Coturnix japonica: one gene and its partners. The protein of the gene in region 1 purifies or fractionates together with the protein of each later gene. This does not show direct contact. Links are inferred from orthologs where the notes say so. Each region holds a gene or a part of one and is shown on either strand. Other genes may lie near its edges.

Region 1 (2,628 bases):
GTGAGGTATCTGCAGAACCATGTTGCAGTTTGTAAACAATCTGAAAACAACTTTGTCTCAAAACCATAATAAGTTTAATAAACCAGCACGAGGGAGAGAATGAAATGCTCTGTAGGGCAACCACTGCGCTTCTTGCAGCACCAGTTCTCCCTGCTGCGTGTTAAATGGTACAAATCCACATGTTAATTATTTTTATCATTCACTTTGAATTTATTGCTCTCAGTCTTTGACAACAAGATAAAGAATAAGGCAGCAGTTCCCAAAACATGAGATTAGGCACTGGAACTCTGACAACTTGCACAGGTCTTGCTTGATTCCTGTTTGTAACTCTGAAGCTGGACAGAGCACTTGTACATTCCAAACGTGTTCAGCAGCAGTTGTCTGGCCTTGAACTGAACTTCCTCCCATTTAGATGAGCTACCAGGAACTGGAAAAACCAGGAAAAGATTTCATAACATTCAATCCTTGATAAAACTGGACAATCCATCTGTCTTCGTATTTACCACGTGATCTCACCAACTCTGATGTCTTTATTCAAACCCTCTTATCAATTGTCTATTGTTCTGTGACTGTCATACATTATATGTATTATTTTACATCTTTATCTCTTATCTAGAACTGTATCTTGGTAAAACTGTCCCCATTAAATAGGGTTACAGAGAAAGCTTTCCTCTGATACACCTGATGTTGTGTTAGATGTCAATATCAGCATGTTTTATCCATGAATCAGATCCTTCCATAAGGGAATTTCTGAAGGAAAGTACTTAACGCCATCAAATAGGAAAAAGAAAATTCTGTACTGGATCAGTATGGGACCAATATGCCTCAGTATAAATGTATTTTCTTTCTTTCCTAACTTCCATTTACACTTTGTCCTTATGGGTTAATGGTTTCTATATCTCTCTGTACAAGAGCATAAACAATAGATTATTTTTCCCCCCAGAATGCTATTTCCTGGATGTGAGTATGAATATAAAGATGAGAGATAAAGTGCTTTGAGTTTTGTCATCTTCCCCACCCCTGGCTGGACTGAACCTAAAATTATGCCATATAGCAGCTTACCTAATTGCAAGTGGACTATGGCAGCTGTTTTTCCTGCAGTGAGAGACCAAACATTTAAATCTTCTATAGAATAAACATCTTCAATTTTCATCAAGTCTTCTTTAATACGATCCACATTTAAATGCCTCGGAACTCCTGTGATACCAAATATAAGATAAAATTAACTGTCGTTCTCAAAGTCTGTAGTCTTCCAAATAAAATGTCACGACAACTTTCAAAACATTAAAGGGGTTCATTGTCTGCGCTGTTGGAAGCATTGAGTAACTTTAAGTTACTGTTACAGAAGAACATGTAGATTGGGATATTGATTCCAGTATGGATACTGAAACAGTACAGGAATTACACTGCTGTCTCAAATATAGCTTGTCCATTCCAGAATCCAGTCTTCCTTCAGAGCAATGTTCTTCTATAGATACAATTGTATTATAGCTCCTAGTCCCTAATAGCTGCTTAGCTCAAACACTTCAAGAAAAGTATAAATCATTATGCACATAATTAGGTTTTCAGCCTGAAAATCTTTGTTATGTTACCAGAACTTGACAAAAAAAAGGATACATTTTCTCCTTCTGAATCGGTTACATTTCTGAATCAGAACTGAAAGACAAATCATTGAAGGTTTTCACCGAAATAAGTATTTGAATAATCTTCAGGTGAGATACATCGAAGTTGGGTTTGTTTCTGTGTGGTTTTTTGCTGCTGCTTTTATGGTCTTCAAGAAGCTGAGATTTTGCTTGTTTACAGCGAGGAAACTGAAATGTTATCTCAGAAGGGATGCCTTAAGAATGTCTTATGTATTTATATATATATATATATATATATATATATATATATATATATATATACATATATTTCTTGCAAGCCCATTCTCTGGAGCTACTGAGTATTAGTTGGAAGAATTACCTAATACACGCTAAGACCATCTTTCATCACATTAATAACATCATTAATTCAGATATCTTGATAACAGCTGGGATACCTATGCAAACAGGTGCAACTCAAACATCTGGAATTCAACACACCATTAGTTCACCTTATCTGTTCAGCTAAATCTCAGATGTTGCCTTGGAGCTAAATGAGATTTCTTAAGTATATTTTACCACTTTTTGCCTTTGCAGAGAAATTCCATTGTCCTTTTTTTTTTTTCTTTCCCTAAATGACAAAGAAAGCACTTGGCATTGAAGGTTTTGAGATTTTTGATTGCAGAAGTCAGCAGTAATTCATATGGAACAGATGGGATGGTGCAGCTAAGAACCACGATTTTTTCTTCTCACCCCTACGTGAAAGTACCAGATTAAGCAGTAACATGGGCAGATTAGTTACAATAATGCAAAGAATGTTGCTGATGTTTTTCCCTTTAAGTCACCACAAGAGGACAAATGATAAGCTTATCTATGTTCTGCTGCTGCTTTTCTTTGCCTCCTTCCTTTTCACGCTGCTTTTGATTTCCAGTTTTAGCTGACGTGTAGCAATACTATCGCATTTGTGGAAAAGGGAAAAACAGGTCAAACATGAACCACGTGTCCAGATGTTTTGCCTGAATTTGTCTTTTCCTTTTACATGTGTTCA
Region 2 (3,756 bases), on another chromosome or scaffold:
GAGGTCAGCAGAATTCCTTAACAGCACTTGGTAAAGAATGAGAAAAGAACAGCTCCTCTAAGCCTGAAAGTCACATCTGACACACAAACAGGCAAATTCAATGAGATACATATGTATGACTTGGAATTCCTACTATTTGTTTTCTAGGATGGCATGGCTCACCAGTACAAGTTCTCCCATTAGAATAATAATAATACCCGTTTATCGTGAAGGTTTCAAAACTGCACTCCTGCCCATCCCACACGCTCTTTGATTCCAGGTCTCTGTCCTAACACAGCTCTAGGTTCTTCTGTAACAATACCCCACCGCAGTTTTGAAAACACCAGGTTCGACTCTTGCATTCAACAGACAAATTTCCCATCTGTAATTGGACGAGGTCAATTTTCATTCATTTCAATTTTCAAACAACTGACATAGGCCCTGGCTGCACTAAGAGCACAGAACGGTGCCTACTGTTTCTTCACATTTATAGTTCAGGCGCTTTCCACTGTGCTGAGCGACTGGGTGAGACCTCAATTTCTATCTTTCAGTCTTTGAGGGGATATGATTGTGATGGGAAACACATCAGCAGATAAGAGAATATTTCTGTTCTCAAAAAAACCACATCTCCACCCTGGGCACAACAATATTCTGGTCCAAAGACCATGGTGCTAACAAATGAGCTGTGCTAGTATTTGGTCAGTGCTTAATCTTCTCTGTTTTTGGCACAGTGTTGAGAAATAGTAGTACTGTATCATAGCATTTCATGCATCTATATGAAAGAAAACCTCACAGTCCTCCAGGATGCTGTCAAACAAGCAGAAATGGTGTGTTTACAACAATGATCCCTTTTGCTTATGAAAGTCTAGCAACTTTGACAAGCACCAGACACTTGAGTTGTATTAAACTGCAAAATATGATTAATTTTTACATAGGAATCAATTCCAAAGCTCCACCTATGAATTTCAGAAATTCACCTTCGCTAGGTATAAGCAATGCTGTCTTTTTTGTCCAGAATACCCTAAACTAGACCTGATTATTTTCCCCCACCCCATTGAATCTTGCTCTGCTGGAACCCAGGGATACCTCCTAGCTCATCAACAAATAGACTGGCAATATATCCTGAAATTAGCGATTATGACCCCACTTCAGAACCCCCTCCAACACCGTGGATGCATTTCATGTACAAATCAGCAGTTCTCCATATTGATTCCAGCTTTGAGAGAACACGTGAGGAAAGTCACCAACTAAACAACAATTCCTCCTATTTTGGATACAAGCAAGGAAGTAGCATTCATACGAATGTCTGCGGGTGGGGAGACATTTCAGCTATGACAGGAGAACTCGGGCAGTCCTGAGACACGTTTACTGTGCGAAGCAAAAGTTGCAAGAAGAGGGGCCAGGCCGGCCTACCTTTAACCGTTTCACCACCTCATCGTTGGTAATTTTGTCGGTGATCTCCTTCACTCCGGGCGGGTAGTAAATGATTTTACCATCGGCGGCGGGTTTTGGTTGGGCAGCCGGGAAGTCCATCCTGGCGCCGCTGCTCAGAAACTTTCCTTCTGCACAGTCCTCTACCGGCCTCTATCGGTCAGAAAACAAAAGTTCAGCGGAATGGCACCGACTTTCTAACCCTCTTTTTCCATTTCGAGCCCTCAATTCGCAGAAGGCCCCGGCCCCCGCCGCGCCGCCCGAGCCCCCGCCGCCGCCCGGCCGCATCCCGCCGTCCCGAGGCCGGGCCCGCCGCCGCGCCGCCCCCCGCCGCCCCGGCCCCTCCGCTCCCCGCCGCCGCCTCCTTTCATCGCGGGGCCGCTCCAGCCCAACACCGATAGTTGGGAGCCGCCGATTTTACAATGAAATTTCGGCCCCGATCGAAGGATGCCCCGGCCCCCGGGGACGGCGGGCGGCCGAGGCGGGGCGCGGGGCCGCGATGCCCGGCCCGCAGGGGGCCGAGGAGCCGGCACGGCGGCGCGGAGCCGGGAGCCGAGGCCTAAACAGTTAGGCCTCAAAACTATCGGGAGGCAGAGGAACCAACAGGAGAGGGGGGGGGGGAAGGAGGGAGGCGGCGGCGGCGATCGCAAACAAAACCCCCCCGCCCGCCCCCGGCCCCTCGCCCGGCCCCCCCCGGGCCGTGGGAGCCCCCCCCGGGGCTGGGGCCGGGCCGCTCGCCACTTTCCGTTTGTTCCCGCAACTTCACGGCCCAGCCCCCCCCCGGCCCCGCCGCGCCCCGCCGCCCCTCACCGCGCGCCGCCGCGGGGCCCACAAAGATTCCCCCCCACACACCGGGCCGGCCCCGAGCACGGCTCCCCCCGGCCGCGGGGAGGAGGACGAGGAGAAGGAGAAGGAGGAGGGGGGCGCGGGGAGGGAGGGACGCGGGACGCGGAGCCGCCTTTACCTCACGCAGCTCCGGAAGGTGCAGCATGGAGCGGCCTCCACGCCGGCCGCTCCTCGCCGCTCCGCCGCCGCCCCGCCGGCCGCTGCCCGCCCGCTCCCGCCGCCTCCTCCCTGCGCGGCGGTGCGGCGGCTCTGCTCGGAAGGGGGAGGGGGAGCTGCTCGGTGGCGGCGGCGGCAGCAGCGGAGAGGGGGAGGCTCCGCCGAACGCGCGCCGCGGGGACACAGTGCCGCTCTCCGTCCGGCCGGGGAAGAACAGCCGGGAGGAGGCTCCGCGCCGCGCCGCGCCGCCCCCTCCTTCTCCCCTCCCTCCCTTCCTCCTCCCTCCGCCCGGGCCCGGACCCGCAGCGCCGCCCAGGCGGGACGAACCCGGCCCCGAGGCGGGGTGAGGCCGCCAGTAAGTCGCGGAGCCGCACGCGGGGCGATGTGCGGGACGGGCCGCCTCGGCGCTGCCTCACGCTTGGCGCCTAAAGCGGCGCAGGGCCGGGGGATCAGGGGCCGGGGGATCAGGGGCCGCGGGATCAGGGGCCGCGGGCTCTGGCGGATGGGGCCGGCCGCTCCCGCCTGCCGAGCGGACACATGTCGGTGGCTGCGCTTCAGGTACCGCTCGGCCCACGTTTCCGAAGTGGGGATGGTGGCCGGGCTGACCTGCGTGGTGAATGGAGGAAGCGGTTAATGGTGGCACTGTGGCACGGAATGGCCTTTCTCCAGCCGGGTTTGCATCTGTGTGTTGACATCTGTGTGCTTTGCCTTTGCTGCTGGCAGATGAGTTTCTCAGAATGGGATTTCCGTGTATAAACCTCCGGCAGAAGGTTTATACCTCTGGAGGTGCAGACTGAAGGGGCCTTGCCACCACCCTCAGGGATTCCTTCCCTGTAAAAGGACTATGTACTGCCATATTCCTTCCACTTTCTGATATGTCTGGAAAGTCACTGACAAAGCGGGATCTATCCATCCCTTTTTGGCCTGTGTTTTAGGCCATGTGTGTCCAAGTACAGGTGTCCAGGAAGTACCATCCATTTGCTCATCCTGCTGATAATTCATGGTCACGGACCAGCTCTAAGTGTCTCATTTGCAGGACTGGCTGAGGGCACCAGAGTTGTGTGGAACAGAAGGGAGGTGATCCCTGCCGCTTGCAGGAAGGGTCCTGCTGCCAGGTTATGGGGAGTGGCAGGAGCATGAGGAGCTCTCAGGTACTTCTGGATCGTGTGGGCAGGAACTGAACTTTCTAGACTCATGCTCTGTTTCCTGCAGTGTCTTCCTGGATTGAGCTGGAAGCCTTTGGTGTCTGCAGCCTATGGAAACCAGCTCTAAAGGATGGTAGTGAAAATGGCTGAGAGCTGTGGGAAATGCTTAAGGAAGTCTAATGCTTTTGGGATCTAGAGT
Region 3 (3,656 bases), on another chromosome or scaffold:
TAAGCTGTGTAGAAACAAATATACAAGTTATATATTAACTTTATGTAAAACTAGAAAACTTTTTTTCTTAATTGAAATGCCATAATTAAGCCAATAACTTCAATAGGGGAGAAGTAATCAACCAGTGCTAAGTCATCTCAATTTTCACATATTATTAAAAATAAAAAAATTAAAAAACCCACAATAGTCCCATGAAATTTTCATCAGAGAGAACTGAGACCAAGATATCAGAAGCAAGAAGAAAAGGAAGATTCAGAACCAGTACATATATTCTATACTATTCAGAACCAGTACATATATTCTATACTGTATTTATACTGCAGTTTACCTGGGATGAAAATGTACAGACCAGGAAGTCCGCCTGAGACAAAAAGTGGATATCCAGAATAACACCTCTTAGGGAGTTTTCAGTGTATCGATTATGAAGTCCCGCTGACCAAGATATGGAGTTATCACTGATAAATTCATAATTTGGATACCTATGAAAATATAATACACCATTAACAGTAGAGTCTGGTGGTGTTAAGAAACATCATCTTTGCTGTAAGATAAGATAGTTAATGTGAGTCTCTCCTTTACACTCTAGAATATTACTACTTATTATTAGAATATTACTACTCATTATATTACACCATGCATACCCTCAATTTGTCAAAAGGAACTTAAATAAGAAGAAAGTCAAAGATATGAATGTAAAATACCAGGAAGTGGATGCTGTATTCTGTTAATCCTACTGATTCTACATGAAATGTACACATTTAGCTTTCTCTACTACTAAATGGAATACAGGACTGTCCTTACTAAACTACTAAATACTGATTATTATGACATGCAAGGAAAGTAGTCACCTCTAAAGGGACAAGTTAAATAAATTAATCTAAATTTAAAAGGAAACTGTTTTTCACAGTTAAGATTCTGTGGAGAACAGGTTTTGCAATTTAAAAACATTAAGCAAATCAGAAGTTTTTAACAGGTAACTATGACTTTGAAACAAAAAAAAAAAACCAACATATTTTTAAATCCTTGAAGGAGAATAGTCTTTCTCGGGATATTTTTAACCTTTACAAAGGAACTGAAATAAATGGCTGAAAGTAGCATGGATTAAGCAAACAGCCTCCAAACAAAGGGAAGTTTTATATGAAAAATTCTACAAAGATGCAACAAAGATGATAATTACACTGCTGTACCATTTTATTTCAGTCATGAAATGCAACTTGCGTTACTAACATGCCAACTACAAATCCACACTATTAGGCTAATTATAAAACAATTTAAATACAGCTTTCAAAACTCATTGCAACTACAAAGCACTTTATTACATGAGGTAGTAAAGTCAGCTAATACTATATTTTTATGAATTAATCATTCTTTAAGGGTTTAATAAAGAAAATCAGAATATAGCATATATAGAATACGGCATTCTGGGGTGCATTAAAAAAAGCATGGCCAGCGGGTTGAGGGAGGTGATCCTCCCCCTCTACTCTGCCTTGGTACGGCCTCATCTGGAGTACTACGCCCAGTTCTGGGCTCCCTACTACAAAAAAGACAGGGATCTCTTGGAAAGAGTCCAGCAGAGGGCCACAAAGATGGTGAAGGACCTGGAGCATCTCCCCTGTGAAGAAAAGCTAAGTGGACTGGGTCTGTTTAGCCTTGGGAAAAGAAGACTGAGAGGGGACCTGATTCAGGTCTATAAATATCTCTGGTGTGGTGGGCAAAGTGGCAAGGCCAGACTCTTTTCAGCAGTTTGTGGAGAAAGGACAAGGGGAAAGGGGCAGAAACTGGAGCATAGGAAGTTCCACATGGATATGTGCAAGAGCTTCTTTTTGGAGGGTGTGACGGAGCATTGGAACAGGCTGCCCAGGGGGGTTGTGTAGTCTCCTCTGGAGATATTCAAGACCCGCCTGGACATCTACCTGTGTGACCTGGTGTAGGGAACCTGCTTTGGCAGGGGGTTTGGACTCGATCTCTGGAGGTCCCTTCCAACCCCTACAATTCTGTGATTATGTGAATTCATTAAATATTACAACCTAAATTTTGTATTACCTGTCTTTTCATTGTTCAAATCTGCACTTTAAAAGTTATGTTACCCTAGTTGTTTCTGCTACTGTTCTTGTCTATATATATTAAAAAAAGGATAGATTAGATTTCCATCATCCACAGCTGAAACATATACAATGCCACCATATTTAGTTTTTTCAGAACTCCATAACTTTAAACAGCAGCTTTTTACAGATATAAAAGTAAAATACAAATCACAAAATCTAAATACACAGGCTTGCAAGGCTGCAAATAATTCCTGTTAGAAAATAACACTTTCCTGTTACCCTGTATACACAAAGAAAATCCAGTATGTTATCTTAAATATTTTTCCAACCGTGCTACCAAGTTCAGGTATTGCCATTCTCATGTTACCTCTGTCTTAAAAAAGTTTTCATTCCCCTGCTTAATAGAAAAACCCTTTCTTTTGCACAAAAGAAAAAGTTTTGGAAGTAGAAATAAGAGCTATTTAGTATAGAGACAAATAAATAGCACTGAAAATGACAATATGCTAAATTGCACTACTACTCTGAAGCAAATGCATTTAAATTCAATACACCTAGAGTACTTATCCTACTTTCCAGTCAGGGCAATAAGCATTTGTAAGATTGTTTATATGCCATAAACATCTGAAGGAATGTTATTAATCCTTGATGCATCTGCTTTCTTGTATTAAACAGAAATTTTTACCAACTCAGCAAAATTTACCAAACTATGGAACTTAACAAGTTTGTTTGGGAAAACACAGGCCGTATTAGGAGTAAATGAATGCATACATGCACTCACAGGTTTGAACAGTTACATTTGCTATGAGAGCTAGGGAAAGTTTGTTAGAGCCACATTCTAGAGAGCTATTAGACGAAGAGCAATAAAGAGATCAAGACAATGATACAGACCAAGAATCCCACATACATAAAAGATAAACCTTACATTTATTCATTGATAGAATGAAAAAAAACAACATCTTTTATGTGGTGAGTATACATATACATATATACATATATATATAAAGTCATCCATAAAAAGACTTTCTAAGAGAAAAATAAAAAGCATAAGAAGTTGAAATTCTTTGCTGTATAAAAGATCATAAAACAACAGTACCAAGACCTGCGCGCACAATAGCCAGAAACTGTAAACAGTAATTAGAAGAAACAAACTGTAATACAATCATAGTTCATCTTACTTGGATTTGGCCTCTTGCAATAATGAAGGGTCATCTGTAGCCAAATATACTCTCTTTTTATCAACATGCATTCTACGAGCAAGAAGTTCAAACCGCTCTTCAACATGCACCATATATTCTTCAATGGGATGAAATGCTGCCTCTGTTCCCACTTTGTCTGTCCTCCGAACATGAACACTGGAAAAGGACAGAAATTAGGAATTCAGCATACAAACACAACACATACTTAAGTAAGTGAAATTTTAACTTTAAATTTCATGCCTATGCTGCAAATTGAACCTGCACATAAAACAAGGGACAATTAGAATTAGTCACTGATATCCATCAAGACATGCTGAACTGAGAAATTAACTGCAAAATCTGAAACATATATCAGGCTTTTTAATAATATTAAGTCTACTGTCAGCCTCCTCTTGAATGCAATATATGAAGGCTA

What was found.
Region 2: the proteins of SLC30A4 (region 1) and PDS5A purify together in Homo sapiens (affinity purification with mass spectrometry; 3 studies listed by BioGRID and IntAct, counting the BioPlex papers as one, with this or other methods). This does not show direct contact. The link is inferred for Coturnix japonica from reciprocal best matches to the Homo sapiens genes SLC30A4 and PDS5A.
Region 3: the proteins of SLC30A4 (region 1) and FUT8 purify together in Homo sapiens (co-immunoprecipitation; 3 studies listed by BioGRID and IntAct, with this or other methods). This does not show direct contact. The link is inferred for Coturnix japonica from reciprocal best matches to the Homo sapiens genes SLC30A4 and FUT8.

What each region holds. Positions count from the first base shown.
Region 1 is NC_029525.1:9,470,900-9,473,527, forward strand, and holds part of SLC30A4 (zinc transporter 4), read right to left. Parts: intron 1,198-2,628; coding exon 1,063-1,197; intron 428-1,062; coding exon 273-427; 3' UTR 1-272. UniProt on the Homo sapiens protein: Probable proton-coupled zinc ion antiporter mediating zinc import from cytoplasm potentially into the endocytic compartment. Controls zinc deposition in milk.
Region 2 is NC_029519.1:62,385,684-62,389,439, reverse strand, and holds the start of PDS5A (sister chromatid cohesion protein PDS5 homolog A), read right to left. Parts: upstream 2,574-3,756; 5' UTR 2,402-2,573; coding exon 2,375-2,401; intron 2,280-2,374; exon of another isoform or gene 2,263-2,279; intron 1,564-2,262; coding exon 1,393-1,563; intron 1-1,392. UniProt on the Homo sapiens protein: Probable regulator of sister chromatid cohesion in mitosis which may stabilize cohesin complex association with chromatin. May couple sister chromatid cohesion during mitosis to DNA replication.
Region 3 is NC_029520.1:20,165,681-20,169,336, forward strand, and holds part of FUT8 (alpha-(1,6)-fucosyltransferase), read right to left. Parts: intron 3,398-3,656; coding exon 3,221-3,397; intron 480-3,220; coding exon 329-479; intron 1-328. UniProt on the Homo sapiens protein: Catalyzes the addition of fucose in alpha 1-6 linkage to the first GlcNAc residue, next to the peptide chains in N-glycans.